4 linked regions of the Pelodiscus sinensis genome follow. The protein of the gene in region 3 purifies or fractionates together with the protein of the main gene of each other region. This does not show direct contact. Links are inferred from orthologs where the notes say so. Each region holds a gene or a part of one and is shown on either strand. Other genes may lie near its edges.

Evidence for each region.
Region 1: the proteins of DIS3L (region 3) and GIGYF2 purify together in Homo sapiens (affinity purification with mass spectrometry; 3 studies listed by BioGRID and IntAct, with this or other methods). This does not show direct contact. The link is inferred for Pelodiscus sinensis from reciprocal best matches to the Homo sapiens genes DIS3L and GIGYF2.
Region 2: the proteins of DIS3L (region 3) and EXOSC6 purify together in Homo sapiens (affinity purification with mass spectrometry; 3 studies listed by BioGRID and IntAct, with this or other methods). This does not show direct contact. The link is inferred for Pelodiscus sinensis from reciprocal best matches to the Homo sapiens genes DIS3L and EXOSC6.
Region 4: the proteins of DIS3L (region 3) and EXOSC7 purify together in Homo sapiens (affinity purification with mass spectrometry; 3 studies listed by BioGRID and IntAct, counting the BioPlex papers as one, with this or other methods). This does not show direct contact. The link is inferred for Pelodiscus sinensis from reciprocal best matches to the Homo sapiens genes DIS3L and EXOSC7.

Annotation. Positions count from the first base shown.
Region 1 is NC_134720.1:4,777,571-4,785,512, forward strand, and holds the start of GIGYF2 (GRB10-interacting GYF protein 2), read left to right. Parts: upstream 1-4,926; 5' UTR 4,927-5,053; intron 5,054-7,942. Other genes in the region: uncharacterized protein LOC102449525, read right to left, coding at 2,705-2,750. UniProt on the Homo sapiens protein: Key component of the 4EHP-GYF2 complex, a multiprotein complex that acts as a repressor of translation initiation. In the 4EHP-GYF2 complex, acts as a factor that bridges EIF4E2 to ZFP36/TTP, linking translation repression with mRNA decay.
Region 2 is NC_134722.1:48,825,767-48,833,044, forward strand, and holds EXOSC6 (exosome complex component MTR3), read left to right. Parts: upstream 1-4,267; 5' UTR 4,268-4,314; coding exon 4,315-5,184; 3' UTR 5,185-6,900; downstream 6,901-7,278. Other genes in the region: AARS1 (alanine--tRNA ligase, cytoplasmic), read left to right, coding at 1,288-1,401, 2,128-2,313. UniProt on the Homo sapiens protein: Non-catalytic component of the RNA exosome complex which has 3'->5' exoribonuclease activity and participates in a multitude of cellular RNA processing and degradation events.
Region 3 is NC_134724.1:4,766,537-4,774,020, forward strand, and holds the start of DIS3L (DIS3-like exonuclease 1), read right to left. Parts: upstream 3,003-7,484; 5' UTR 2,963-3,002; coding exon 2,833-2,962; intron 1-2,832. UniProt on the Homo sapiens protein: Catalytic component of the RNA exosome complex which has 3'->5' exoribonuclease activity and participates in a multitude of cellular RNA processing and degradation events.
Region 4 is NC_134712.1:178,144,957-178,152,028, reverse strand, and holds the start of EXOSC7 (exosome complex component RRP42), read right to left. Parts: upstream 3,001-7,072; 5' UTR 2,756-3,000; coding exon 2,699-2,755; intron 2,301-2,698; exon of another isoform or gene 2,286-2,300; coding exon of another isoform or gene 2,277-2,285; intron 1-2,276. UniProt on the Homo sapiens protein: Non-catalytic component of the RNA exosome complex which has 3'->5' exoribonuclease activity and participates in a multitude of cellular RNA processing and degradation events.

The sequences.
Region 1 (7,942 bases), on a different chromosome or scaffold from region 3:
ATAACTCTACTAAAATAGATACTAAAATGTATTTTGAATTTTCCAAATAAAATTTAAAAAAAATGCATACCTTAAAAATGTTCCCTTCTTGAAATTTTGCTTGATAAACTCCCCCAAACTAACTAAACTAACTAAAAGCAAGTCCCCACAAACTAGATTTCTCCAGTGTCAGACAGAGGCCTCTTCTGAATTCTCCAAGTAAAATGCAAAGAGATATTCACATGATCTAACTGACTTCTGTCAAGATACGACATTGGAACAACAATGCTACAAGGCACAGCTGCTTCTGCAAGAGAGCTGCAAGTGCCTATTCTGACATCTTGGGTTGGAATTCTTTTTCTTGCTATCCTCCCCTGCACTTTTCTAGCCATTAGTAATAGCAAGCAGCCAAGAGAATGGAAATACAAGTTGTCAGAGACCAGAACCTTACAGTTTTGCTACAGAGGCAGATGCTCCCTCAGAGCAGTTGCATATGATTAGTCCTTCTTTCTAAAGGTACATCTACACTGCAGCATTATTTCAGTAGCCTGAAATAGCTATTCCACATCTTTGAAAGAAGCCTGTTATTTCAAAATATAATGGAGTAGTTATTCTGACATCCCTGTAAACCTTGTTCCATGAGGACTAAGGGACATTTCAGAATAGGGTTTATTTAAGCTAAAGGTGCAGTGTAGACACACCCCAACAAAATAGTCCAATGAAAGATACCACCTCACCCATCCTGTCTCTTCAGTCTCCCAATGGAGCTCATTCTAAATGCTAAGATTTTTCCAAATATATGTAATGTGGTCATAGGCAGCGAGGTCCTTGGGTACCATGGGCCCATATAACAGGAATATTCCTATCTCATCTACACCAAAGGTTAGGGCCGGGTCTCACCCCGGCAATAGATGACTTGTGGCAGCACCCAGGAGGTGCACTGCACCCCCGTGCCTTGTCAAAATTGTAATTGCTAAATGGAGTGCTCTTATACCCCCCTCCCTGTTCCTCTGAGTGGTCCTCCCTACTCCCCATCCCTTGCAGACACCAGTTGTCTATGCTCCGGCCCCTGCGCAATCCCCTCTCCCCCATGTCCCCCCCCAGCCTGCCTGCTGCTCAGGGTGATTTAAAATGACCAGGGGCCTCCACTACCACCACCATCAGCCCAGTGGGGCTAAAGTGGCTTCCAGACACATGCTTGATGCAGCTGCTAGCAATCTTTCCTCACAAATCATGCTTTCTAGAATTTTAATCATTTTTGCTGCGCTCCTTTGGACCTTCTCCAATTGGTACACAACTTTTCTGAAATATGGAGCCCAGAACCGGACACAATACAATACTCCAGTTGCAGCCTTAACAACATGGAGTAGAATGGAAGAATTACTTCTTGTGTCTTGAGTACAATAGTCCTGCTGATACATTCCAGAATTATGGCTTTTTTTGCAACAGTGTTACACTGTTGACTCATATTTACTTTGTGATCCACTATCAACTCCCAGACATGGTCAGTATAGAGGAAAGGGAAGACATTGCTTCCCCTGGATCTTAATGTCCAAACACCTACCTCTTCTTACCCCTAGTCTGATTCTTCCTGCAGGCTCCAACAACAGGGTGTTTCAGCCTGGTGAGTCTGCCCCTAGAGGCAATCTAGTAATTTCAAAGTGAAAAGTCTTACAACTTGCCAGATCTATCAGCATAAGACTGAAACTGTTCAAAGAGCCATTAAGCAATAATGGAGTAATTTAAAAAGCATTTGCCATCCTGGAGGTATATACTGTCAGATTCTGAATGTACTTGACAAAAATAATTTTGCATTCCTGCAATATTTATTCAATCTATTCGGCTACAGGACCTTAGTTTACAATTTGCTTAAAATATTTAGTCAGTTTGTTGCGGCAGTAGATTATAAAACCACACATTTAAAACATCCTTGCATAGATTTTGAGATGCAGAATCTGAGTATTCATCTTTAGCCTTACATACTTGGATCTTCAGACAAACAGTTCTTTAAATTCTTCAAAAGATCTTATTTAAAATACACATTTTAATTACTATAATACAAAAAACTTGCTTCCAAAGTCGTCTTGTTCTTTCTATCTATCTCTGCTGTAATCTTTCTCTTTTCACTCTCTGTTCAAGAGAGTCCTTATAGGGACAACACCTCTTTTCTTCTACATACCTGGTTAAAATGAATTTTCCCTTTTTTTACTTCTGACTATTTGATGAACTACTTTTACGAGAACCCTCCACCAAAATCAGTAAGGTATAAAATCTTGTTATACCTAAAATATTTAGACATATTTTTAACATTAATATAAAATGAAATTTTGTAAATATGTCTATTGTTATGGAGATTACACAAAATAAATTAGTGTTCCCTTTTTCTAAAAGCAATGAATATTGTGATGAACACACTAAATTGCTCTGATTAATTTAAACTTATATTTTTGCTTCAGTGTCTTAAATCTGTAGTAATCTGGAATGATTACTTGTGCAGGCTTAAGAGTAAAATTAAAATATAAAATCAGCTCAGAAATACTGATTAAAAAAAATTAAACAAAGAAGAGCTGCATCATCTATTCCATAATATTTAATGTTATATTCAGCAGGACAGCTGACCTGCCCTTACCACAAAGTTTGTGCAAATAAATCTTTGACAAACTTCAGGGTATATATAAAAAAAACTTGTGACTTTTTTTATTCCCAAATAAATTTAATTAGGTACCTTCTGCAGGTCCAGTCTTCACAATCTGGCATGCAGTGGATAACATGTTCCATTTTCGTTAGAAAGAAATTGTAGAAGAGTGTTTTTTTTTTTCAAATGTCATTTTCTACATTTGGATTCAGGGATTTTGCTTAAAGGGGGTAAGCAGGGCAGGGAAAGAAGAGAACAGTGGGGAGAGGGCAGTGCCTGGGAAGAATGTCTGGAGCCTGCAGTAGAATATGGGCAGGGCCAAAGCCTGGGGAGTTCACCTTCCCAAGAGATAGCTTCATCCAATACCCGTGCCCCCAGAGCTCTTTCCATAGTACTCCTTCCTAGACAGTCATTTCCCATGTATGTGTGTGCAAGTGATTGTTCCTTCCTTAGTGCATTTGTCCTTTTTTAATTTAATTGTTTACTTCAGACAATTTCTCAAATTTGTCCAGATGACTTTTAATTTTAATCCTATCGTCCAAAGTACTTGCAACCCCACTGAGCTTGGTATTGTCTTCAAACTTTAAGTGTACGCTGTATAATTTTAGTCTCAATCATTTATGAAAATATTGAACAGAATCAGACCCAGAACTGATACCTGAAAGACCCCATGTGATAGACCCTTCCAGCTTGACTGTGAACCATAACTATTCTACAGGAATGTTTTTCCAACCAAATATGCATGCACTTTATAGTAACTCCATCTAGGCTTTGTTTCCCTAGTTTGAGATCAAGAGGGACACTAACAAAAGCCTTACTAAAATCAAGATATACAACATCTACCACTCCTCCCCTGCCACATCCCATCCACAAGGCTTGTTTCCTATCAAGCAGAGCCATTAGGTTAATTTGTCATGATTTGTTCTTCAAAAGCAACATTCCTTGATAAGCCATCATCACCTTATTTTCCAGGTGTTTGTAAACTGATTATTTACTCTATTATCTTTCTGTGTTCTTAAATTAAGAGGACTCATCTGTAATTACCCAGATTGTCTTAGTAGATTGCACTATATTTGCCTTCCTCTGCAATCTCTGTTTTGCATGAGTTTTCAAAAATAATACCCAATGTCTCTGATATTTTCTCAGTCAACTCCTTGACTATGTTAAGATTTTTTTCATCAGGTCCTGAACACTGATCAAGATGTCTGCCTCTGTGAGAAAGCAGTGTGAATAACGTGACAGGGTGATTTCTGCATATGAAGTGTGACTACAGTTGCCAACTTTCTAATCACATAGAACCAAACACCTGCCCTGCCCCACCCCGTGTTCTAAGCCTCATCCCACTTTCTCCTGCATCGCTTGTCCTTTCCCCAAATTCAATGGAATGGGCCAGAGGATTGGGTTGTGAGACTGGGTGAAGACTCCAGCTGGGGGTACAGGATGTGGGATGGGGCCAGAAATGAGGGATTCAGGAGGGGGCTGTGTGCTGGAGCAGGGGTGCAGGAAGGATTCTAGTTGGTGTTGCCGACTGTGGAAGTAGGAGGGGGCTCTCGGCTGGGTTTCAGGGGTTTAGAGTGTGGGAGCAGGCTCAGGGCTGGGCCTGCAAGCTCTGGGAGGGGGATCAAGGCACTGGTTCAGCTAGGCTGTACTTACCTTAGGCCAGAGGCACAGAGGCACTAAGACAGACTCCTGCCTGCCCTGGTTCTTTGAGACGCTGGGACAGGGCCAGTATGTCTGGCTCCTCGACAGAAAGTCTGGGGAGGGAGGTTTTCTGGGCACTGCCCCCACAGCTCCCGCTCACAAAGCCTCCCGGCCAATGGGAGGGGCGGAGCTGCTACTGGAGGCCGGGGGAGCGTCCCTGCTGAACACTCCTGGGAGGCCCGGCAGTTCCTTGTCCCACTATGCGGCCCTTTAACGCCCCGCTCAGCACTGCTGACCCGAGCCGCCCGCACCCCTTTTCCAGGCAGGGCTGGCTCCTTGTCAGAGGGCTCTGGATCACCCAGGTCGGGCGGGGTGGGAGAGCTGGGCCCAGAACAGAGGCAGTGGGGAAGTACCAGAGCACTTGGGCTCCCGCCCGGCCCGAGCTGGGTGCATGCGGAGGACTATGGCCCGTGCCTGGCCTGGGCCCTAGGGTAGGATCGGGGCTGGGCGCTGTCCCGACGCAGCGGCCTCGGCCGGCCTCGTGCTCTCTCTCGAGGCCCGGGCCTGGCACTAGGGCGGGGGCTCGCGTCACCCCGCGGCGGCCGTTAGCGTTGCGGAGCTCGCGCTCTGTTCGCGGCGCGCGCGCGCTCTCAACTCGCCGCCGTTCCCATCCGGGGCCTGGGTGGGTAGGTGGCGCCCTATATCACGTGACGATGCGTGGCGGCGCGACCGCCATCTTGTGTTGTTGGGACTGAGGAATTGCTTCGGCTGTGAGAGACTCTCCGTCCGGGATCGCAGGTAATTAACCCCGTTGGCGCCGGCCGGCTCCCCGGGGCGGCCAGGCGGTGCCTGAGCCTTTCTCCTTCCCGTCCGGGACGTGTCAGCCCCGCCGGGGCGGCCCTGCTGCGGGAACGTGCCTAGGCCGCCGTGGAAGCGCCGGTGTCGCCTGCGGTTGCTGCCCGGGGAAAGGTCTTTGCCGTGGGGTACAGAAGCCAAGGAGGCCCGCGGCCTTTGAGCAGCCGAGGTGACTTGGACTTGGCTTATGGGCTATAGGCCTTGCCGGAGCCTCCGTTGTTCGTCTTTCCCCCCGTCGCTTGCGCGGAGACGCAGCCGCCTGCCCCTCTTCCCACTTCCCGGTGGCTCTGACTGGTGGAGGCCCCGTGCAGGCGGCCTTTGGCAGCAGGTCCTGCCGTGGGTTGGGTGAGTGCTGGTGGGCCGGAGCCTGTCAGACACCTGCGGGATTTCTTGGGTCATTCCGGGCCATTTGTGGTCCCTGCTCGTTCCCTTCTTCCCCTAACTCCTGCGAGCGCTCCTCGCCCCCCTCAGCGTCTTGGGCGAGCCTTCGGGCAGGGTCCGTTCGCACTGACGCCTGTCTCCTCTGAGCATGTCTGGCCTTGTCATACTGCAGACACAGGAAGAAAAGAGCTGGTTCAGGGCTGAGGCGTCAGTAGGATCGGTGTTAAGGGGAATAATCATCAGCAGCGTGTGACCCTAAAGGCTGTGGTAGGGCGAAGAGCCCGTAGATCAGGATCAGGTGTGTTTGGTTTTAATCCAAGGCAAGTAGTCTCAGTGTCAACACAACGATTCCAGCACCTACGAGCATGTATAATTGCAGTTTAAATCCAGACAAGTTGGAGGCCAAAGGGGTCAATACTTATTGACGTGGTTGGAGTATTAAAAAAAAAACAACCCATATTCTGATTTGCTTCAGAATGATGGTCTTGGGGGTTTTCTTTTTTGGTTACTTTTGCCATTATTTTACGGTCCATATTTTGTTCTCTGTTTTATTTCTGAATGCTGCTGTTGTACTTTTAATTTAATCATTTTTGGTTTATCAGCCTTTGATTTCTTGCTTCAAGAGCTAGCATGTGTCACTTTCCAAACAAGTGGATTCTTCTGGCATTTGTTGAACTCACCTATTGCTGCCAACTCTCTTAGTAGTAGAGATGGTAGGAGCACTAGTGGCCACTAATTTATCTAAATCTTGTTTAGATCAGAGTTAGTTGATTTTATGGTAATTAGTCTGCACCCTGTCACTACTAACAGTAGGTGCAACAGTAGGTGTTTTTTTTAAAAAAAGCATAGCTATGCTAACTCAGTGAAGTAACTGGTGTCAGAGCACTTGTCACAGAATAGATTCTTTACTGAGCATGGACAAAATGCAAGATTCTGTTTACTGTGTTAAATAGGTCAGAAATAGGGGTACCATCACTTAAGTGATATGTGGCACTGAAAATTTACAGCAGTGATAGCAAGACTTGGCAGCTTCTTGATTCCATTGCTGTCTTAATATCTCTCTTCAGTTCTCTAACAAAGCTGTAAATTATTTGTTAGTGATTTCAGGAGGTGGACAGAGAAGCCTTGTCTGGGCATGTGGAGGTACTTGCACAAAGATTGCATTCTCTGTCATCAGGTTTGCTGCAGAGCCTTTTTTGAACAAATGATTTCAGCTAACAATTGAAATGTAGAATATTTATATTGCTATCTTGGTGTACTATTCTTCCTTTGCAAATACACAGGTTTCTTGATGTTGTAACACATCAGTAAAATAATTTATCAAATACATGAAAAGTTTTTGTAAAGCTCTGGGGCTTTTTTCCTCTATTTTTACTTTGTGAGTCGGTTTCACTATTTCCCACTGTATTGTCAGTCATCTTGCTTTCTGAAAAGACTAACACCAACTGGAGAGTTGAAAAGTCTTCACATTTTAAAGAAAAACTATGTCCCTTCTTCCAGAGATGTATTATCTATAAGGTCTGCCAAGAGACTGATATTTTTTTAAAATTACGAAATAAAACAAATCAAGTTGAATAATGCCTTTCACATTTATGAATGCTTCAAAAGAGGCAAATGAAGTTTTCCATTTGGGATGAACTGTAAAATTGAGAGATGATGAATAGCCCACTTGCACATTATCTGGGTGGCTGGATGTACTTTTTCTGAGTATACAGCTCTGTGAAATTATATTAGTAGCATACTAGAACACTGAAGAAAAAGATAACTTAAGGTACATCTACACTACAAGCATTGCAACAGATCACAAAAGGATATTTCTCTTTTTTAGTAAATCTAGAATCTCAAGAGGCAGTGGCTAGTAGGGATGTAAAAATATGTTTAAAAATGTAACTGTGTAACCACTAAAAATCATAGCATTTACACTTAAATAAGCTATGCTGCAGAGCCTCCAGCACCTGTAACCGCTCTGATTTTTAGTGGTTACATAGTTACATTTTTAAATGCCTGGCCCTGCTCCCAGGGAGCCAGCATATAATCTGATGGGGGAAGGTGGATCTGGCTTGCCAGGGACAGGGGTTGCCTCAGCCCCTACCTGTAACCAGAACCTGTAAGCCTCACCCATTAAGGTGAGGCCTACTGGTTAACCTTTTATATCTTTAGTAGCAACATCAAAAGAAGATTTTTTTTTTTACACCTGTCAATCTACCTACATTTACAGTCGTGGTTAGGTCACCCTCATTATGTTTCAAAGGGTGTGAAGGTTTTTATACAGTTTTGAGAGAGCTAGCTAGATCACTTAAGTTTTAACTGTAGACCGGGTCAGTTAAAAGTGGCCTACAAAGGAGAGTTGGTGGGAGACCCTTGCTGCACATTTTGTTGATTATATTTCTTCTTTACTGTGTTCAGGCCTTCCGTTGTCTTGAAGTTTTCTGCTTGTGTTTAACATTTGAA
Region 2 (7,278 bases), on a different chromosome or scaffold from region 3:
TCCACTTCCAGTCTGGCTGAGGATGGGGATCCCTTGAACTTCCGTCTCTGGCCCCAGGAAGTCTAAGCAGTTCTGGTGACCCCATGGAAGTGGGGGCCTGACCCAGTTTGAGAACCACTGCTCTAGAATTCTCTTTTGGGGCCATTACTGCAGTCTGCACAAATGCTGCATCTGCGTTCTAGCTCCAGAGTCCAGGTGCTTTTCTCTGTGGGGTGCTGCTGGAGGTGTCCCGGGGATTGTGCATCCGCACAGCCTGTCCTGGGAGTTGTGTAACTGCACCAGTTCTTTCTCTGAACGAGGGCGCTCCATCTCTTTTTGGGAAGATTATGTGCCTGGTGCTTAGGGACTTCTTCCCAGTCAGTGAAGCCTCTCCACCTTCACCTTTCTTGCAGCCCATTTCTGTTCACTGGACAGGGCCTTGAGAGGCTATCTAGTCCAATACCCTGCACTCATGGCAGGACTGAGCATTACCTAGATCATCCCTGACAGGTTTGTATCTAACTTGCTCTTAAATATCTCCAAGGATGGAGATTCCACAACCTCCCTGGGCAATTTATTCCAGTGTTTAACCACCCTGACAGGTAGGAAGTTTTTCCTAATGTCCAACCTAAACCTCCCTTGCTGCAGTTTAAGCCCATTGCTTCTTGTCCTGACCTCAGGTTAAGGAGAACCATTTTTCTACAGTCTTTGCAACACTTTTTTATTTATTTGAAAACTGTTATCAGGTCCTCTGTCTTCTCTTCTCCAGACTAAACAAGCCTATTTGTTCAGTCTTGCCTCATAGTTGGTTTCTAGATTTTTAATATACATATATTTTTTTTGCTCTGGACTTTCTCCAGTATATCCATGTTTCCTGAAATGTACCTAGAACTGGACCCACTACTCCAGTTGAGACCTAATCAGCTCATAGTAGAGCAGAATTACGTCTTGTGTTTTGCTTATAAAACTCCTGGTGATACATCCCAGAATATTGCTTTTTTCCAACACTGTTGACTCATATTTAGCTTGTGATCTACTGTGATCCCTAGATCCCTTTCTGCAGCACTCCTTCCTGGGCAGTCATTTCCCATTCTGTGTGTGTGAAATGATTGTTCCTTCCTAAGTGGAGCACTTCTCTCCTTATTTAATTTCATCCTGTTGATTTTAGATCATTTCACCAATTTATGCAGCTCGTACCTTCAGGGCCACTGGGGACTGTCCTGGCTGTGGCTGCAGAGGGATCTGAGAGCCTGCAATGTGGTGTCAGGAGCTGGTTCTTGCCATGACTCGGTGTGCATGTCTCCACAGGCCCTGAATGAATCTCTGAAGCTGTTCAAGGCTTACTCCCCTCAGACTGCGGCCATGCTCTTCTCTGTGGATAGCGAAGCTGGGAAGATCACTTGCTTATGCCAAGTACCTCAGGTAGTACTGTGTGTGTGCCCTTCCTTGTGCCGCCCTGCAGCCATTCAGATGGAGTGTCAGACTGGTGGGGGGGGCGTACTTCAGGATTCTTGCACCCCTCATGCACAGGGAAGTCCACCTTCCAGCCTCTTCCCTATCTGCATCTCCCCTCCCCCCGCCCCTTTCCAGTAGCAGTAGCCCTGCTCCTGACCCTGGCTCCTGGGGATGGGGTGTGGAGACAGGGATAGAAACATGAAATGAGCAGCTTCCACTGAGGAGGGGCTCTGAAGAAGCATTACTCTGTGTTTCTTCTGATTCCTGTTCTGTCTCTGACTGCCCCTTCAGCCTTACACCACATGTCCAATGGCATATGCCTCTGGTGGGGTCGGTGGGTTTTGTTCGGTTACTGCTGCGAGTGCAGGGCTTGGCCTTGACTTTTGTAGCTCTGATTTTGAAAACAAATAATGTTTGAGAGGTGAATCATGGAGTACACAAGACAAATCAGACTCCTGAAAGGGGGTGCGATCACAGAAGACCCTTTGAGGCTATTGCTGTCACAATAGGCAGTGATCTTGAAAGATTGAGAGCCACTGATTCAAACCCACTCACCTGCCTGGAAAAGACGTTTCCTTCCTTCCCTCCCTCCCTGGCATTGTCAGCCACAGCACAGAGCCTGGAAATCCTGCCTTCCCCAGCAGTCACTCCAAACCTGCTGTCTTTAAAAGAATCTGAATTCTTGCTTTCCAGGAGCTAGCCACCAAGGGCCTGAAGGCAAACCAGTGGGTGCAGGAGGTGACGGGTCTGATGGATGGCAAAGGCGGTGGGAAAGATGTATCTGCCCAAGCTACAGGAAAGAATGTTGACTGCCTAGAGGAGGCTCTGAAACTGGCCACAGACTTTGCCAAGCTCCACCTTGGTGAGCTGAAGAATTGACCTAGTGCCCCTGCACTGACTCTCAGCACATCAAGGAATGCCCTCAACTCTCCTCAGCCTGGCCGATAGGTTACAGTGTAGTGGGGCTTGTGAAGATGGATTCTGCTCCTCATTCCTTCTGAATCCATTTGCTTGAGGCATTAGCAGACTAAAAGCAGAATCAACAGCTTGTGTCCTAATCCAGCTCTGATGAGGTCTCCCGGTAGCCTGTGTTGAATCATGTCACTTTCATCCTCTCTATGTCTGTTCCTTGTCTAAAGTCAAGCTGACAGTACTGACCTACTTCCCAGGCTACTGTGAGGATTAACTAGCTAATGGTGTAAAGTCTGCAGAGCACAGTCCAAGGTGCTAATTGTTAGCAAATACTGTCACACTTCTACAATAAATTAACATGCATCAAAGCCAAGAGTCTGTGTGTACCACCTTCACCCCTGTGTTACTACACTGGAAGCATGAGCTGCAATGAGGCTGGGTGTCGAAGGTGGGGATCCAACCTGCTAGAGTATTTTGAACCTCACCACTGTTACCAGCTGTTGATAATACAGGAAGTTTGCAGAGGAGTGACTGGTACCACATTCTCTGTAATTCTCTGAAGTGCCAGCCTTGGGATGGTCAGAGGTGACAGGGCTGAGCTACTCTGCATGGGAGCAAAAGCCAGAGACAAGGCAGGTGGGAGCACTGGCCTGCACTGACCTATGGCCCACAGCTACTGCAAGGGTGCCTGCTGTCAGTGGGGGCTTCACACACCCTACCTCAGGGAGTGCCCAGTAACCTTGAATCTCCAGGGAGGCTGTAGGAACACTGTCAGCCTCATGCTTCCTCAGCTGGGGGGTCACTGTTCCCACTCAGGAGCCTCTCCTAGCCCCATGTGAGCCTCCTCCCCCTCCATTACCACTCAAGCCCCCCTTGTCAACTAGGGTTGTCAGGTGTCCAGATCTTGACTGGAACACCCAGCTGAAAGGAACCATCCTGGCACCACTCAGTGCTGCTGACCAGCCATTAAAAGTCTATGCAGTGGGGCTAATGCCTTGACTCTGTGTGGCTCCCAGAAGCAACACTTTGTTCCCCACTTTGGCATCTACATTTAAGGGCAGCCAGGGCCCTTCACACCAGTGGGGAGATGGCTCTGCTTGTGGGAGCTACTTGCGGTAAATGCTGGCAGGAACCTGATCTCCCTGCTGCCCTACATCCTACCCAGAGCAGCCTTCTGCAACCCAAATCCCTCACCCCTACCCTATCCCAGTCTGCATCCCCAGCCACAGCCCTAGCCTGGTGAAAATGAGTGAGCATGTGAGGGAGAATAGGGAGAGTGAGCAACAGGAAGGGGGCATGAAGTGAGTGGAGAGCAGGGAGGGAGGCGAGGGTGTTTGGCTTTAAGTAGAGTTAGCGATAGGATGGGGCTTCTCCCTACTGCCAGCCCCTGAATAGCCCTGCCCACCATTATCACTGGGCCCCCTTGCTAATCTCCTCCCCTGCTGCTGGCCCCCTCACTAGCCCCCTGCCCTCCCCACCTTGCCATTATCTGCCCCTTTGCTAACTCCCCTCTCTCCTGCCACCCTTCCCTGCTGGAAAAACTTGAAAAACAAGGACTAATCTGATAGCACCTCAGAGACTAACCAAGTGTGGATGGCGGGGTGAGCTTTCCCAGCTCCAGCTGAACCTGCGCCCCGCTGTGCCCGGCTCATGAGCCCAGCTCCGCTGTGTTAGTCTGTAAAGTGCTGCCAGACCACTCCTTGTTTTTCCCTCCCCTGCTCTGTTGGCCCCACCCCCTCGCTAACCACGCCCCCTGCTGTTACCGTTGGCCCTGCCCTCTCGCTAACCCCGCCCCCTGCTGTTACCGTTGGCCCTGCCCTCTCGCTAACCCCGCCCCCTGCTGTTACCGTTGGCCCTGCCCTCTCGCTAACCCCGCCCCCTGCTGTTACCGTTGGCCCTGCCCTCTCGCTAACCCCGCCCCCTGCTGTTACCGTTGGCCCCGCCCCCTCGCCGCTTCCCAGCCCCGCCATGCCGCTGGACCCGCGGCGCGTGCCGGGCCCCGAGGAGTCGCAGCCGCCGCTGCTGTACGCGGCGCCGGGCCAGGCGGCGGCGGCCGATGAGGCGGAGGCGGAGGCGGGGGCGCTGCGGCCGCTGCTGGCGCGCGCCGGGCTGCTGAGCCAGGCCGAGGGCTCGGCCTACGTGGAGCTGGCCGGCGGCACCAAGGTGCTGTGCGCCGTGCGTGGGCCGCGCGAGGCCGCCGAGGGCCGCGGCCGCCTGCTCTGCGACTTCCGCCGCGCGCCCTTCTGCGCCCGCGGCGCGCGCCCGCGCCCCGGCCCCGCCGCCGCCGCCCGCGAGCGCGAGCTGGGCCTGGCGCTGCAGGAGGCGCTGGCGCCGGCCGTGCGCCTGGCCCGCTACCCGCGCGCGCGCCTCGAGCTCACCGCGCTGCTGCTGCAGGACGGCGGCGCGGGCCTGGCCGCCGCGCTCTGCGCCGCCGCGCTGGCGCTGGCCGACGCGGGCGTGGAGATGTTCGACCTGGTGGTGGGCTGCGGCCTGTGCCGCGCGCCCGGGCCCGCCGCCGCCTGGCGCCTGCAGCCCAGCGCGGCCCAGGAGCGCGCGGCCGCCGCCCGCCTCACCGTGGCGCTGCTGCCGGGCCTGGGCCAGGTGGCGGGGCTGCTGGGCAGCGGCCAGGGCGGCCCGCCCGAGAGCTGGGCCCAGGCCGTGCGCCTCGGCGTGGAGGGCTGCCAGCGCCTCTACCCGCTGCTGCGCCGCAGCCTGCTGCGCGCCGCCGAGCGCCGGGCCGGGCTCCCGCGGGGCCTGCCGCCCCCCGAGCGGGACCCCCCGGACCGGCCTCCTCCCCCTGAGGGGCCCGCCCGGCCCCCTCCCCCTGACCGGCCCTGAGGGGCCCGCCCGGCCTCCTCCCCCGCCCGCCCGGACCGGCCCTAAGGGGCCCGCCCGGCCTCCCCGGCCCGCCCGCCAGGCTCCTTTCCCTGAAGCGCCCCCGAGGGCCCCCAACAGGCGCCAGCTGCTCACCCCTTTCCAATCACGGCCCCCTCCCAGTTCGCTGAGCCTGTAATGCAGACTATGGGCCAGCCCCCCCTTCCGGGAGTTAATGAAGGTCTCAGTGGCACAGCCCTCCCACCAGTACATCTGTGATGAGATCAGGCCCCCTTTGGTGCTGGGCAGCAGCCCCTCCAAACTAGCTCAAGACCTGGCCCATCGCCAGTGTGGGGAGCAGCGCGGCAACCTCACCCCCCTGCGACTGGACTGCTAAGGGGCCTGATCCACGGAGTAGCCACTTTCTGGAAAGCCCCACGAGGAGGCAGTGTGACCAGAGCCCCAGACATTGCTCCACCTTGCAAGGGATATGAGTTGAATGGGGCCTCTCTACCAAGGAGGAACATATCATGGACTTTTGCACCCAGAGGGAAATTCACCAGCACCATGGCAAAATTGTGAACATTTCAACCGATATCGGGACTGAAAGCAAAGCCAGAATCTGGAGACTGAACATATGCAGGAGATCTCCTTGTGGCTTTTCTTCTCTATGCTGGCACCAGGTGGGGTGAGCTGGAGATGTCTTGTAGAAGAGACTTTACAGATGCAAGTCAGCACTGCAGAACTGACAAACTGTGGCAAACCTTTTAGGGCAAGTCCTTCCCATCCAATGGCAGCTACCATCCACCATAGAACTGTTTAAGTGGCTTTTTAAGTATAATAGAAATGGGGTTTGTACTTTATGGTTAACACAATTCAGCAGATGAGAGGTAAACTGTTTTGCAGGTGATTGGCTGCATGCAACAATGTGAGGCAGTTGAATCTTTCCATTGGTAGGATTAGACTGCCTTGATTTGTTGGTGTGCACAAATGTATTTGGTATGTGCTTCAGGGGGACGTGGGAAAACCCTCCCCCTCCTGCCTGAGATTTTAAATTGTTTCTATTGACTCCCACCTGATTCCTACGAAATGGCAAGAAATACTGTTGACCAGCAAGCAGTCTGTTTTATTAGATGGTTTAAAATGTTTCTCAGTGATTTTTTTTTTTTGGTGACATGTTGATTATATCTTAATTCTCCCCCAGAAAATCACGACTGCATTTTTCCTGGTTTTCAGTTCACTTTCCCTAAAAATTGAGAGATCTGCTAGTGTAATTATTTTGATTTAATCGGGACCTTCCATTTCCTCTTTGGTTGCTGCTCTGCTTAGCATGGGTTCTTTATTGCATGTCAGTGTTTAATTTCCAAAGAGGCCAGTTAACGCAAATTCTCAATACAATGGACAGGTACCAATGCAGTTTTTTTCTTTCTCTGGGGTTAATGTAAATGTTATTACTTGACTACAACAGGAGAAATTGATAGAGAGCCTTTATCCTGAATCTGCTGTAATGTGTAACTCACCCAGCCCCTGGTTTGTATTGATTTGGAGGATGGGTTCCCAACAGAAGTGATGATGGAAAGGTTTGGTTGTATACTTTGGTGACTAAAATCTGAGCACCAGTCAGAAACCACTGCCCAGTGAACTCTAGTTAATATATAAGACCCATTTGTAACTCTCCACCAAAGAGAATTGATTGACTGGAGAACATTTTTATATTACAATAAATTTTCTTACTGGGAAGTTCATGTTTTCTTGGCTTTGATCTATGTGGGTCCTCTGCTCTGTAATGGGCCCTTTGATTAGAAAACTCTCCAAGTGAAATCCGTGATGTCCCCAGATGTCCTGAAGACTAAAACTCCATACTAGCAGGGCTAGCTTTCTCTTACTGCCCACTCTCCAGCTCTGAGTTCCCCTATTGTGAAGAGGATAGCTTTGTGCATAACAGCTCTACTCCTATGTAAAGGGGCCAGTTATGTAAATCTTTGCTTTGAAACTGGACTGAAGGCAACAGTTTCATCATAATGACTGAACAGCAAGCACATGATAATAACTGGGCTGGATTTGAGTCTTATCCTAGAGGGGAAGGCATTACAGCTGTTAGTGTTGTTCCAGAGGTGT
Region 3 (7,484 bases):
GGATAAGCCCTCTTGCGCAAGTATTCTTGTGCAAGAGGGCCAGTGTAGACAGGCAAGTTAATTTCTTGCGCAAGAAAGCCCGATGGCTGAAATGGCCATCGGAGCTTTCTTGCACAAGAGAGCGTCTACACTGGCACGGATGCTTTTGCGCAAAAGATGTCTTGCGCAAATACTTTTAACGGAAAAACTTTTCCGTTAAAAGTATTTGCACGAAATCATGCCAGTCTAGACGCAGCCCTCTTGTCTAACATCCTAGACAACAACAGGCTGCACTAACAGTTGAGCCACAATCACACATGCCTTCGCAACCCTCTTCCCCAAAAATAAATCAGAAAGTTTTTGTTCTAAATAATAGTTAAAAATTTAAACTAAAAATTTAAAAGTTTTTTTATTAAGGATGAGCAGCTGAACTAAGAGTTAATACATTTGAAATTGACTTGAAATTGATCTCTGCTATGTTGATTATCTAATATACTATGTACATGTATCAGAAAAGTCCATTGTACTTATAACAACCAAAACACTCAAAAAGGCTACCTCAGAATAACCTATTATGTACAACATGGTAGTGCACTACACAAAACATCATCAAATCCAGCAATCACAGAAACTGGCAGTCTTCCAATGTCTAAGACCAGCAAATACAATATGGATAATTAAATTTAATTACCTAAAAAGTTACTGATGGCACAAAATGGCAAGAATCATAGGGGTAGCTGTGTTACTCTACATCTGCAAAATGAATGAGGAGTCTCTTTATGGTGCTACCAGATCCCTTGTTGTTTTTATAAAAAGGCAGAAGTTTCAGTGTAAATTTTTTAGCCATGTTGAATATTTTAATATACATCAATATCATTTAATTCCAATTAGAAAAGAAAATTGAGTTTAAAAATGTCCTTAAAATGGGGGCAAAGACATAAGAATCTCAGGCCCAGGGGCTGGATGTGGCCCCTGGCTCGCCTGGATCCAGACCGCGAGGCTCAGGGCCCTCCCCCAGCACTGGGGAGCACACACCAGTGCTTCAGCCTCCCCACTACCCTGTTGTGGGGCTGCAGAACACAAAATCTACTAGGCTGGGCCCCTCTAGGCTATGGTGTGGGAAAGGAAAGTGGAGAGTATCTTTCTCCTTCTCGGTCAAGGGCCATGTCAGAGAGGGATTTTGCTTCTCACTTGTGTGTAGCCCCTGACTGATTTTTCTGTGGGTCCATGGCCCATAACCCAAAAAAGGCTCCCACCCCTGCTATAGCCCATAGCTACTGCACTGTTATAGGTAGTCCTATAGCTAGCCTTCCCCTTTCAATTCCCTTCTGTTCTTCTTCAGAATTGCATCTTCATTTACTTGTGCAGGTTTCTATTCTGCAAGGACATTTCGTTGTGCTACTGGCTGGTTTGGTACTCCCCCTCTTCTCTATTACTGAATCTGTTTTGTTCTGTAGGGTCTGCTTCCTCTGGAAATGATCTAGTTAACTTACAAGTGACAAAGCCTGTCAAGGCTGTTAGCAGAAGATTGAACCTGTGAACCATCTAAGTGGATGCATCCTGTAGGCCTTCCAAATGGTAAGGAAACCCGTATAACAGGCATTTGCCAACCCCAGTATATACCGTCAGTTTCTGAATTTACAGTCTCAGAGGGCTGTACCCACAAAAGATTGTGATACCATCTACATGTTTTGTTAGTCTTTAAAGTGCTGTTAGACTATTTGTTGTTTTTGTGAGTCTCTCCATATTTGTGTTATTCTCTAAGGCTACGTCTAGACTGGCATGATTTTCCGCAAATGCTTTTAACGGAAAAGTTTTCTGTTAAAAGCATTTGCGGAAAAGAGCATCTAGATTGGCATGGATGCTTTTCCACAAAAGCACTTTTTGTGGAAAAGCATCCGTGCCAATCCAGAAACGCTTTTCTGCAAAAAAGCCCCGATTGCCATTTTTGCGATTGGGGCTTTTTTGCGCAAAACAATCTGAGCTGTCTACACTGCCCTTTTGCGCAAAAGCTTTTGCGCAAAAGGACTTTTGCCCGAACAGGAGCAGCATAGTATTTCCGCAAGAAGCACTGATTTCTTACACGAGATCGTCAGTGTTCTTGCAGAAATTCAAACGGCCAGTGTAGACAGCTGGCAAGTTTTTCCGCAAAAGCAGTTGCTTTTGCAGAAAAACTTGCTAATCTAGACACAGCCTAAGGGTACGTCTACACTGCAACGCTATTTCTGGACACATCTCATGTCTTCACAGCAAGCCCATTATTACAGGCTCGCTCTCCCGACATCCCTGTAAACCTCCTTCTACAAGGCGTACGGGACGGGTCACCACGGGGCTTTATTTCGGAACTCGGCGCGGCGACGATACAAGACACGCAATGTGCTTCGCTCCCACGGCGCCTCTTATCTCGAGTCACCGGGCAGGGCAGACGCACCCCACAGGGCCTGGCGCTGGGTCATGAATGTGCCCGGGGGGAATCGACAGGACCCGCGTTTAACATTTGCTGGGCGAAATATTCCATGGGGGTGGGCAGAAGAGGACAAAATCCCAGCTCTAAAACTACCCCCCCCCCCCGCTGGTCTTGCTCTAAAACTACCCCCCCCCCCCCCCCGCTGGTCCTGCACTAAAACTGCCCCCCCCCCCGCTGGTCTTGCTCTAAAACTGCCCCCCCCCCCGCTGGTCTTGCTCTAAAACTGCCCCCCCCCGCTGGTCTTGCTCTAAAACTACCCCCCCCCCCCGGTCTTAGGGGCAGCAGTTTCAAGCAGGGGCCCGGCTCCCTGCCCCCTAAGGATCGCCCCGCCCACGCCCCAGCCGCTCCTGCCCCTGGCGCCCCCCGTGCCCCCGCGCCCGGCTCACCGCGGGGGCAGGCGGCCCGGCACAGGGCGCTGCGGCAGGGCACGTCGGGGCGCAGGTAGTGCTCGCGCACCACGCGCACCGAGCGGCCCGCCAGGCCCCGCAGCTGCAGCACCTTCTCCGTGCGCTGCATCGGCCGCGCGCCCGGGCCCGGCGGGAATGGCGGGAGGCGGCGCCAGCGCGCTACGCCGGAAGGGCGGGGCCTGCCTCGGGGGCGGGCGGGAGCGGCGGGGCCGCTGGGGGAGGGGCATGGCGAGGAGGGGGCAGGGATGGAGCTGGGGGGAGGGGAATGGCGAGGAGGGGGTAGGGATGGCGCTGGGGGGAGGGGCATGGCGAGGAGGGGGCAGGGATGGCGCTGGGGGGAGGGGAATGGCGAGGAGGGGGTAGGGATGGCGCTGGGGGGAGGGGAATGGCGAGGAGGGGGTAGGGATGGAGCTGGGGGGAGGGGAATGGCGAGGAGGGGGCAGGGATGGCGCTGGGGGGAGGGGAATGGCGAGGAGGGGGTAGGGATGGCGCTGGGGGGAGGGGAATGGCGAGGAGGGGGTAGGGATGGAGCTGGGGGGAGGGGAATGGCGAGGAGGGGGCAGGGATGGCGCTGGGGGAGGGGAATGGCGAGGAGGGGGCAGGGATGGAGCTGGGGGGAGGGGAATGGCGAGGAGGGGGTACGGATGGAGCTGGGGGGAGGGGAATGGCGAGGAGGGGACAGAGATGGAGCTGGGGGGAGGAGAATGGCGAGGAGGGGACAGAGATGGAGCTGGGGCAGGGGGATGGCGAGGCGGGGGGCAGGATGTGGGAGGGAGAGGGGGTAGCAAGGAGGGGGCCTGGATGGTGCTGAGGGAAGAAGAGGCTGGCTCAGAGGGGGGCAGGGATGGTATGGGGGAAGGGCCAGTGGTGAGGAGAGCAGAGATGGTGCTGGCAGGGGAGGGAGATCCTGGGTTACAGGAGACATCAAGCTTTCAGCCTTTGTCAATAATAGCCAGAAAGTGTCTGATAGTTAAAGGTCAGGGGATCAGGCTTTTTTCCCTCATTCAAAATCAAGCTGGGGTCAGCTGACCTAGAACAGGTAGTCTCTCCAGGAAGGAGCTTTCTACTTCAGTGGACAATGCCCATGTTTAGTGTAAATTCCCATGCATGAAGATTACCGCTGGAGGGATTCACAGGATCCCGATAAGCCCTGAACTCCAATATACACATACGTTTCGCTTAACCTGTGTACCATGCCCATTTTCATGTCAAACATTAGCTTTCCTAACAAATAATTAAATCTGTTGTTATCAGTTTAATACTTGATATGTTCTCTATCTGGGTGCTTAGGATCCCAACAAGGAGCCAGTGTGGACTACATATGGAGTCGGTTGACGCTTTGCTCAGCTGACGTGGCCGCTTGTAGTTTCCGACATCAACAGGTGGTCAAAGGACATTTACATGGAGCACATCACTTGACATTGACAGTACTGAGAGGCATAAGCAGGACCACCGACAAGGGATGCAGTCTAGGAAGTAGCCCAAATTCTTCCATGTCAGGCAGTACCTTCCTACCTGTGGCATAGTCACGGGTGGGCCTGGGTAGGCCTAGTCCACCTGCTTTTAATCCAGGCCCACGCAACCATGCTGGTTGGATGTGGGGGATGACCCTGCTGCACCCAGTGCTCTGACTGGGTAGCCGGGGCTCACCCTGCTGCGCCCAGCATTCCAGAGAGTGGGGCCAAGAGGTGCGGGCTCCCCTTTGACCCACGCTCCAGCCTGGGGAGCAGCCAGGGAGTGGGGCCAGGGCTGTCACCGTTCCATCGGTGCCCTGCCACCCAGCAGTCTAGCTGGGGAGTGGAGCTGGAGCTGACCCCTTGCTGTCAGCGGTCTGGCTAGGGAGCAGGGCTAGAGTGTGGGGGCTTACTGCCTCCATCATTGCCCACCCTCCCAAAGTCAGGGCCCACCCAAGTGGTCCTTTCTGGCTATGCCATTGCTTCCTACAGAGAGCCTACCCCAGATACTGACAGAATGAGAGAGAATCTCCACCCATTAATATATGTGGTTTCCATGGCTAATCCTCTATAAAACTTCCAGTGGATGATATACCCAAATGCTTATTCACTACTACCAGACTCTACTGCTAAACTCCTAAATCTGAGTCAGTGCTAATTGTAGTTTTTTTGCTCTGTTGTTTCTCACTCTCCTTCGTTTGGAGGAAGTTTCCGATGATAACACGATAAAACATGATGTGACCCTCAGAATATAAAACAATAATCAGGTGTGAGAAACTCAGGAAATGAAAGAAAGTAATCATATACTAGGCCTTTAGTCAGACATACTCAAAAACCTAGGAGGAAAATGCATTTATTTCCTGAGTTCTCCAACTAAATCAGGGAACTCAGCTGAAATTCAACCTATGTTCCTGAAAAAGCACCTGAAAATGACCTGTGGTGAGAGGATGCTCCTGTTAAGTTGGAAGAAGCTGAGCCAAACAGACGCCAAGAGAGAACCACTACGTGACCTTTCTCAAATGCCGCTGCCATGGCAAAATATACCATGTTACATAGGTTCTGACTTCTATTCTTGCCGAGGGGGTGCCCGGCCACTGCTCTTCACCAGCTCCCCCCCCCCCATACTCCACCCTTTCCCCCAAGCCCATACACCAGCTCATCTTTCCTCACATCCCCCAAGTACAGCGCGTGCCTCCCTGCTTCTTCATCTCCCTCCTGGAATGTCAGCATCCCGCCAATCAGCTGTTTGTAGCACTCTAGAAGCACTGGGAGGGAGGGAGAGAAGTTGGTTAAGTGTGGGGCTACCAGCGCATGAGTGGCGCAGAGTGCACAGCTTGGTGCCAATGGGTGCTCTGCACCCGCTACTTTTTCCCAGTGGGTGCTCCAGCCCCAGAGCACCCAGGAAGTCAGCTCTAATCCCATGATGAATAGCATCAAAGAGCTTACAAATACCCAGATACGGTAATAAAACATTTGCAGAAAACTTCTGTGGGTAGTTCACAGTCGTGCACGCCAAAAATTCTAACAAAGCAGAGCTGGCTTGCAATCATAGCTTGAGCTCAAACCAAGATTGATTTTAGGTCCATTGTATACCTGACTTGAATATTTTGCACAGCTGTAGAAAGAAGTGTCTTCGGACTTTTTTCTTTTTGAAAAAAAGGGAAATTATTTTGTGATTATGCATTGCTGTGCTTCCCATTTTCTCAGCAGGATGATCTCCCCTCTGCCATGAGCCTGCATCTTAGTTTTCAGGGTGCAGTTTCCGTTTATTGCCACTGGGAGACACCATTTCATTGATTTTGGATGAGAATACCAGTGTGTCCTCTGTTTAAAATTCAGCCTTTCAGGTGTTGTGATCAAAGTGCTGATAGTTGCTTGTAACAACACCAAGCAATTTCTACTCCAAAAGAAACTAACAAACTAGTAACTAAAGGCTGCTTTCTAATACAATAATAACCCCTCATGCTGCTACATGCCTAGATGTTTGTAATTATTGGAAGCATAAAAGCAATGTATTTACTATAATTCCTCATTTTTGGTATATTAATTCCATGATTCCCTCTTCCCTTTCATCTACAGATGAAATTTTGAAGCATGTTCTACATCATTAAATCAAAAAGTTGTACACTCTGTTGTTTCCCGTAATATTATACATCTTTAGCTCATTCCAATGTTTTATTCTTGTATTAACTGATGTATTATGCGTATTAAAAAGTCAAATACTGATTTAAAAAGCAATGGCCATGTTTATTCTGTCATCAAAACTACTAAACTTTAGCTGATATAAAGGTAAGGAGAAGCATCATTCACAGGTGATTTTAGATTGGAGGATATTAGCTGTAGCTTTTCATAAGATCTAATAAAACAAACGTAAACATAGTGGAAATAATTTGGTTATTTTTGGCCCAATTATGTAGCCTTTAATCAGGCAAAACTATCAAGATGTATTTGATCTGAATAGGGGTGTGAGCTTAAAACTTTTACAGTGAAATGATGCTTACATGAGCCTCATACCCTGTAGTAACCCCATTATAGTTGATAAATTTCACAGAATAATAGATGTCAGATGGAAAAGACCTGTTAGGTCACCCAGTGCATCCTCACCAAATTGGGATAGTCCAAGTTTGGAGTCATTTACTGTAGAACTTTTCCCTGTAAGGGATATTTATTTATAAAGTGCAGTAAACAGAAAATAGAACTGCAAGGATGACTTTTTTGCCCTCTCTTTCAAAATCTCAAGCTGAAATTCCTAGGTGAAACTGATGAATTCCTTCTTAGCCTCCTAAAATGAGAAATTAAATGAGTGGTAGTTGACCTCCATTGAACCCTTTTCCGTTGTCATTTGCTGTACAAATTAGATGAGAAGAGTTTTCCTTGAAGGCTCAGAGATGTGCATTGAAACTAAAGAAGAAAATATCATACTGTTTCCCACCCTGCCCTCAAAGGCTCAGGAGTTGATTCTGCAAGCATGTTGGTGAGTAGTATGGCTCAAAGTTTGAAGTCAAGGGGACACTCACATGAAAAAGACTGTGTCACCAGGTAAGTGTTTACAGGATCAGAATCTGAAGCTCTGCAGTTCTCTTCTTAGCTCAAGCAATCAAATCATGCTATGTAAAGCTTCAAACTAATACTGAGATAATGGAGCTTAATATTACTGATGCAAGCCAGCAGTTCTAG
Region 4 (7,072 bases), on a different chromosome or scaffold from region 3:
GGATTGTGACCTAGGGCAGTGAATTGGGGTATAGCAGTGGGTGCAGGGATTTGGGTTGGGAGCTAGGGCAGTAGGGGATTGTGATCTGGGGCAGGGGATTGGGGTGCTGGATCTGGCAGGGGATATGGGTACAGGAGGGGGGCAGAGGATTTGGGTATGTGGAGTAGGGCCCAGGAGTGAGGGTCAGAGGGTTGGAGAAAGAGGGGCTGGGGTGCCAGAGGCAGGATCTGGCCAGGAGACTTACAAGCCAGCAGCCATTCCTGCATCAGCCTCTCTGCCTGCCCAGTCCCCAAACAGGCTGCAGCCTGGAGCACCTTGTGCTTTGTGGCTGCCTGTAATTGAAACAGGCAGCTCCCACCAGCCAGTTTCTGGCCAGAAACCGGCCAATGGGATTGTACCGGGATGAGAGCAGCTCCAAAAGCTTTCCCCCCTCCCCTCTGGACTCAGTTTTTAAAGAAAAAACGCCCCACAGCTGCATTTCTGAGCAATGTGCGCATAGGATAAGGCAAGTGGGGGGCCTGCCTGGGGCTCCCTGCAGCATCTGCGGGCCAGATCCAATGGCTTAGCAGGTTGGATCTAGCCCAAGGGCTGGTTTTTGCCCAGGCCTGCTTTAAAAGCAAGAAGATAGATAGGGGATCCCCAACTATCCAACATAATCACTAGGACACTCTGGATCTCCTTTAATGTTAAAAACATCAGGCATCCAGGCACACAGATGAGTGTGGCCTGCTCCTGAATAACCCAGGGAGAAAAGAGTGGGTTACACAGGTTTAATTCCCAGTTCGGACACTGACTTCCTGCATAAACTATAAAATGGAGATAGAACATAATACTACTCATTTTCTACACTTAGTTTGTATTGTGCATTAAAGCCCTGATCCTGCAATAAGCTCCATGTGGGCAGACCTCATCAGCTTCAATGCAGCTCCTTATGCATAAACAAGAACCTTATGTCCACAGCTTATTGCAGAATCAGGACCTTACATAGCAACCTCTTCAAGGAAAGAGCTTTGTGTTTTGGTAGCACCTAGCATATTGGGGCTCTGATCTCGGTTGGGTCCTCAGATTTAACATTTTTATTAAAGCTAATGTTAGAATTATATAATACACAGGTTAAGAAAAGAATGTCTATACATTGAGATGTAATGCTTATCAGATAGTCGACTAGTGATGTGACTAGTCGCTTCCCCTGACTTGCTGCCTCTATCCGAGAGAGGCGGCAAGTGGGGGAGCAGGTCCCAGTGCTAGGAGCCAGCTTAAAAGCTGGTTCCCCTTAGCACCATCTCCTCGGGGGGCAGGGGAGGTAGAGGCACAGCGGGAAATGGCGTGAGCAGAGACTGAAGCTGTCTCTGCTCGTGCTGCAATTCTGTTTTTCAAATATACAAGAGCCCCACTGGGGCTCTTGTACATTTAAAAGGCTGAGGCAGGGCTTCCTTTGAAATGTAGCAAAAGAATGTGTTTCTGCAGTGGCCAGTTGGGTGGACCTCCAGGCTGCCCCAAGCAGCTGGCTCCAGGTCAGCTGCTCAGGTGGCCCCAGGGACAAACACACTTGCCATTTCTGGAGAGGCTCTGCACTAATGGTGCAAAAATGTGTTTATTTTGGTAAACATGTAACCGCTGAAAATTTCAGCAGTTACATACTTGCAGATGGAGGAGGCGGGAGCTGGCTCTTAAGTTGGCTTTCCACGAGCACCTGATCCTGCCTCCCTCCCCAGGCTGCTGCCTCTTTATTAGAGGTGGGGATATTAAATATCAATTAACTTAATAGTCGAGTAACCTCATTAATTCTTATAGGCTAGTCAACTATTCTATAGCCCCCAAGGATGGGACTGGCAGCCAGTGCCCCCTGCCACTCCGTGTTTCTATTGCTATTTTAGAGGCAGCCGCAGGAGCTGATCCACGAGGGGAGCCAATTTAAAAACCAGCTTGCCTTGCGGACTGGCTGCCTATTGTCCTGCACTGCTGTCTGATAAAGAGGCAGTAGTGCAGAGTGGTAGCAATCCCTGTGTGGGAGGGTCTGAGTTCCCGGACCCAGTATGAGCCAGAACTGAGCTGGGTTGCCTACCTGCCCAACTCCTAATACAATTTAAATGCAGAGCCACAGCAGGGATAGGTCCCAGACCCGTTGCAAGCCGAGACTGAGCCAGGCTGCTGGCCACCCTGCTAAGAAATTTAGTGGCGAGGGGAGGTGGGAGGGAAATGCTTGTCGTCTGGAGCATTAACCTACAAGCTTTTGCTGATCAGTTAATCGACTACACTATTACAGCCCTACTCACAGGCAGCATCTCAGATGCGCTGGCTCTCCCCCCCCCCCCCGCCTGATCAAGAGGGCTGCAGTAAGGGTGAGGGTTAAACAGGAGCCCGGGCTACATCTCTACCCTGCACCCGGCCGCTTGCACAGCCCCGCAGCCAGCTACGCGGCCTCCGCTCGGCCGCCCCGGGACCAGCTGGTGCCCTTGGCCCAGGGGCGTCTCCCCCTCCCCCACACTCAGTCAGTGCACGAGCGACAGACACGTCACAGGAATTGTATCTACGTAGCCAACAGTCGGGTTTGAGTTTCGGGCGGCGCGGCTCAGACAGCGACGAGCCGTGAACTGAGCGGGGGGGGGGGGGGCGAACAGAGACCGGGGCGCCCCTTCCCACGGCCGCAGGGCGGCACCCAACTGTCCGCCCCCCGCGCAGCCCCGCCCCCCGTTACCTGGATACCGTGCACGATGTAAACCTTCTCCGCCTCGCTCAGCACCACGGACGCCATGATGCGCGCCGGGTTCCAAACACACCGGCCGCCGCCGCCTGGTGATGCCGTCACCAAAACGCGACGACGCTAACTTCCCCGTCGCTTCCCTGCCGTCCCTCCACCCGCACGGAGTTACGTCAACCGCTCGCGCGCGCCGTGCGATGCCTGCGGGCGGGCGCGTGCACCGCCCTGTGTGGGTGACTCAGAGTCACTGCGGGGCTGGGGCTGCGCGGGAGCTGCTCCCACGTGGGGATAGCAGGCGCGCAGAGGGCAGAGCCGGATGCTCTGGGTGGACGCGCCACGTGTGCGCATGCGCAGCTCTTAATCTGGGCGGCCTGCTGGAGGGGTGCGCGTGTTAGTGCAAGGGCGTTGTTGGTCCGCATTGTGCCTGGATGCAGAGCCCTGCACATTGGGGATGGCAAAACCCGTTATTACTGTAACCGTGTAGCCGGTCAAACCGGTTACACGGTCACTCGCTGGCTGCCAGCCCACTTCCAGGGAGCCAACGACCTGCCTAGCCCTGCAAACTCATACAGGGCAGCAGAGCAGTGTGGCTGTCAGCGCCTCAGGAGCCCTGCATACTGGGAGCCAGCTTTTAAGGTAGCTCCCCATTAGGGTTGCCAAGGTCCAGTATTGAACCAGACAGTTTGGTATTTTCGCCTCCTGTCCCATAAAAAAAATCAAAAAATACCTGACACCTAAAATGTCCGGTACTTTCTGATTTTTTCCCAGCCAGGAGGCGAAAAATCTCGGGCTGTCCAGCTCAATAAGGAGGCAGCCTGGCAACCATAGTGCTTACCAGGGAGTTGTCTGGCCCAGTGCAGGGAGGCAAGATGGCGGGTGGCTGCTGGTAGCCTGTTAGGGCCAAAAAGCCTTACCACATGTTTCTTAAGAGGGCCATGCTGTTATTTTTATTTTTGCTTAACTGTCAAAGGGGGGACGGTACTTTTTCTGAAACCATCTGGCAACCCTATTCCCCATCATCATGTAGATGTCTACAAGATTAACTGATAAACCTGGCTATCGGTTAATCCTGTGGTCTACACGCATTTCATCTCCCCCCCCCACACACACACTCTTGCTGCCTCTATATCAGTGGCTCCTGCGGATCTGCCTTCTCCCACTTACTGCCTGCTATATAGGCAGCGGGGGTGGGTGGGGAACAGACAGGAGTTGGCTTAAAAGTCAGTTCCTCCCAGCACCAGCTCCTCTGTGCTGCCCCCCTCTATGAAACAGCTTCTGTCCATGGCAAGCTTGGGCCCACTGCAGATAGGTTGTTGTGCATTCTATAGAGCAGCCTTACCTAGGCCTACCGTGAACAGAGGCTGCTCCATGGCAGCAACTTCTGTCCACAAGGAGCTCAGCCCCTCCCTCCCACCCCAACAGATCGTGTGACTAAGGTATCATCTCAAAGGCACTTCTCTCACTTAACGAGTAGACCACTACCAAATGTACTGTTGATTTTGGTCAATTTCATAGTCACAGGATTAAAAAAAAACCATAGGCATGGGTGGTCAGTAATTTAGGCAAGGGAAGGCAGAGCCTTCCCAAAATTGCTCACAAGACCAACTGCCTAAGGCTGGGGCTGCCAGCCTGGCTCTCCCCAGCCACCGGGGAGGCATCGGGCCACTGCTTGGTAGCCCGGCTTCCCCTTTCCACTGGGGAGGCATGGGGCTGCAACTCGGCAGCCCAGTTTCCCCCCGGCCGCCAAGGAAAGCTGGGCTGGGGCTGCAGTACGACAGTCACAGCTCTGCACATGGCCCAGAAACCTCGAGTGGAAGGGGACAGAGCTCGGGCTTGTCTTCCCCAGCTGGCCTTTCACCCAACGCCCATAACCATAGGTTTTGTTATTTCAACTATTTAAATCTGAAATTTCAATGTTGTAACTGTGGGGGTCCTGACCCAAAAAGGAATGGGTTTTTGCAAGAGGGTTTTTGTAGTACTGCTAGTACCCTTCTGTGGTGCTGGTACTGGCAGTGGTGCTCAGCAGCTGAAGAATGGTGACTGCTGGCCGGTCACCCAGCTCTGAAGGCCAAGCTGCATGTAGCAGCAGTGCAAATAAGGATGGTATTGCCACCCTTCTGCACTGGTGCTTGTAGAGCTAGATCCTCAGTCAGCAACTCTCTGGCCACCCCACTCTGAAGGAAACAACAGAGAAATAAGGATGGCATGGTATGGTATTACCACCCTTCTACACTTCTGCTGGTGGGGTGCTGCTTTCAAGCTGGGCATCAGGCCAGCAGTCACTGCAATCCATCCACCCAGTTCTGAAGGCAGCACAGAAATAAGGGGGGGATACTGCAACCCCCCTAAAATAAGCTTATGATCCCTGCAACTCCCTTTTGGGTCAGGACCCCCAATTTGAGAAACTTGGTTTCCCCCATGAAATCTGTATTATATAGGGTATAAAAACTCAAAAGATCAGATTTTACAAGGGGAGACTAGCTTTCACAGTTCATGATGAGTTTTTCATCAAAGCATAGGGCTGGAAGACACCTCAGGAGGTCATCGAGTCCAGCCCCAAATTCATGGCAGTGAATTTGGTAGGACCCTTTAATGAGTGTTTTAATATTTTGTTTTTTCCATATAATTCCATGTGTGGCCTTGTGCCTTATTTAATGCATGCCAATCAAATCCTGCTGTAAAGACAGAATTATTAATTGCCTCATGGGCTTTGGTATGATGCTTCGCACTGTATTGAGTGAATCAGGAATATGAATGAATTTATTTTCACAAAATCCATGTATGATTGAGATAGTATAAATATCACCATTTTACAGATGTGAAACTGAAGCTGAGAGAGATTAAAGTGAAAAGTATCTACTAATTTTGCTACTCAATTTAACATACCTAGGATTTGATTTTTTTTTTTTTGAGTACATGGTAATATATAGTTAGGGATGTAAGTGACTAGTTGACTATCTGAATAGCAAATGCTTATCAGATAGTCGAGTAGTGACTCAACTAGTCGCTTCCCCCTCCTTGCACCATCTTGGCGGGGGGTGCAGCAGGAAACAGCACAAGTGGGGACTGCTTCAGTCCCCGCTTATGCTAGTTCCCTCTATGGGCTCTTCTGCTTTTGAAATGTACAAGAGTCCTGTGGGGCTCTAGTACATTTCAAAAGCAGTCCCCACTCACCCTGTGCTCTCTGCGGCAGCCCAGAGGCATCAAGCCTGTCTCAGAGGCAGCAAGAGGGGGACAGGAGCCAGTGGAGAGCCATCTTAAAAGCCTGTTTCTCCCAGCACTGTCTCCGGGGTGCTGCCTGCCCCTCACCCCGCTGCCTCTATCAGAGGCAGCAGTGCGGGATAAAGAACACTGCTACGAAGCAGCCTCCGTCTGCAGGGGTCCTAGCGGGGAGCTGGGCCTCCCCACAGACAGGGGCTGTTGCTACCAAGCAACCCCTGTTCAGGGTGGCCAGGCCGGGCCATGGGTAGGGGTTGCTCAGCAGCCACCCCTGTCTGTTGCCAACCCTGTCTGCCATGAACAGGGGCTGGTGTCTGAGTAGTCTGTGTTTGCGGTGGACAGGGCTGGTCGCCGCAGACAGGCTGCTCTGGCACCAGCCCATGTCCGTGGCAGACAGGGCTGTCTTCTGTAAACAGGGGCTGTTAAACTCATTGCAAGCTGGGACCAAGCATTCCCATCTCGCACTGATCACTGTGCCTCTGCATTTTAAATGTAATAAAAGCCCAGCAGCTCTTACTGCATTTATAATGCAGAACCACAGTGCGGTTGGCTCTGGAGCCAGCATGAGCCAGGACTGCTCTGTCCCGGCTCAAGTGGGCTCCTGGAGCTACCCAGGTGCCAGACTGAGGGGGGGGGGGGGTCACCACTAGGACCCAGAGTGTAGAAAATTGTGTCTGCTGCTGGTGCATGTGTATTTTCTCTGCAGAGGAGTAGAACAGGAAGAGGGCAGAATTGAAACCTTTCAAAGTTTTGGCCCAAGCAAGGCGGCATGGGGGTGTCATTTGAGCTCCCCACTTTGGGTGCCAAAATGTTGTGGGCCAGCCCTGGAGCTACCCTCACTGCAGCTCTGCAGAGCAGCGCTTATCGACTAATCATATAGTCAATACAAATTGTTTAGCCAGATAATAGCATTTTAACATCCTTATATATAGTATTTCATTTGTTCAAAGCATAGCTCTCATCTACTTCAGCTGCAGTTGTGCGAATAAGCGCCAACTCTTTGGGGTGGGAAGAGGCGGGACAGAGGTGGTGTAAGCTTGGGGAAAGGGATGGAGTAGGTTCAGGACCCGGGGGAAATCAGCATCTGTGTTTGAGTGTGTTCGGCACATTTGAAAATCAGACTCCAGTTGAGAATCTTGCATCTAGTACCCA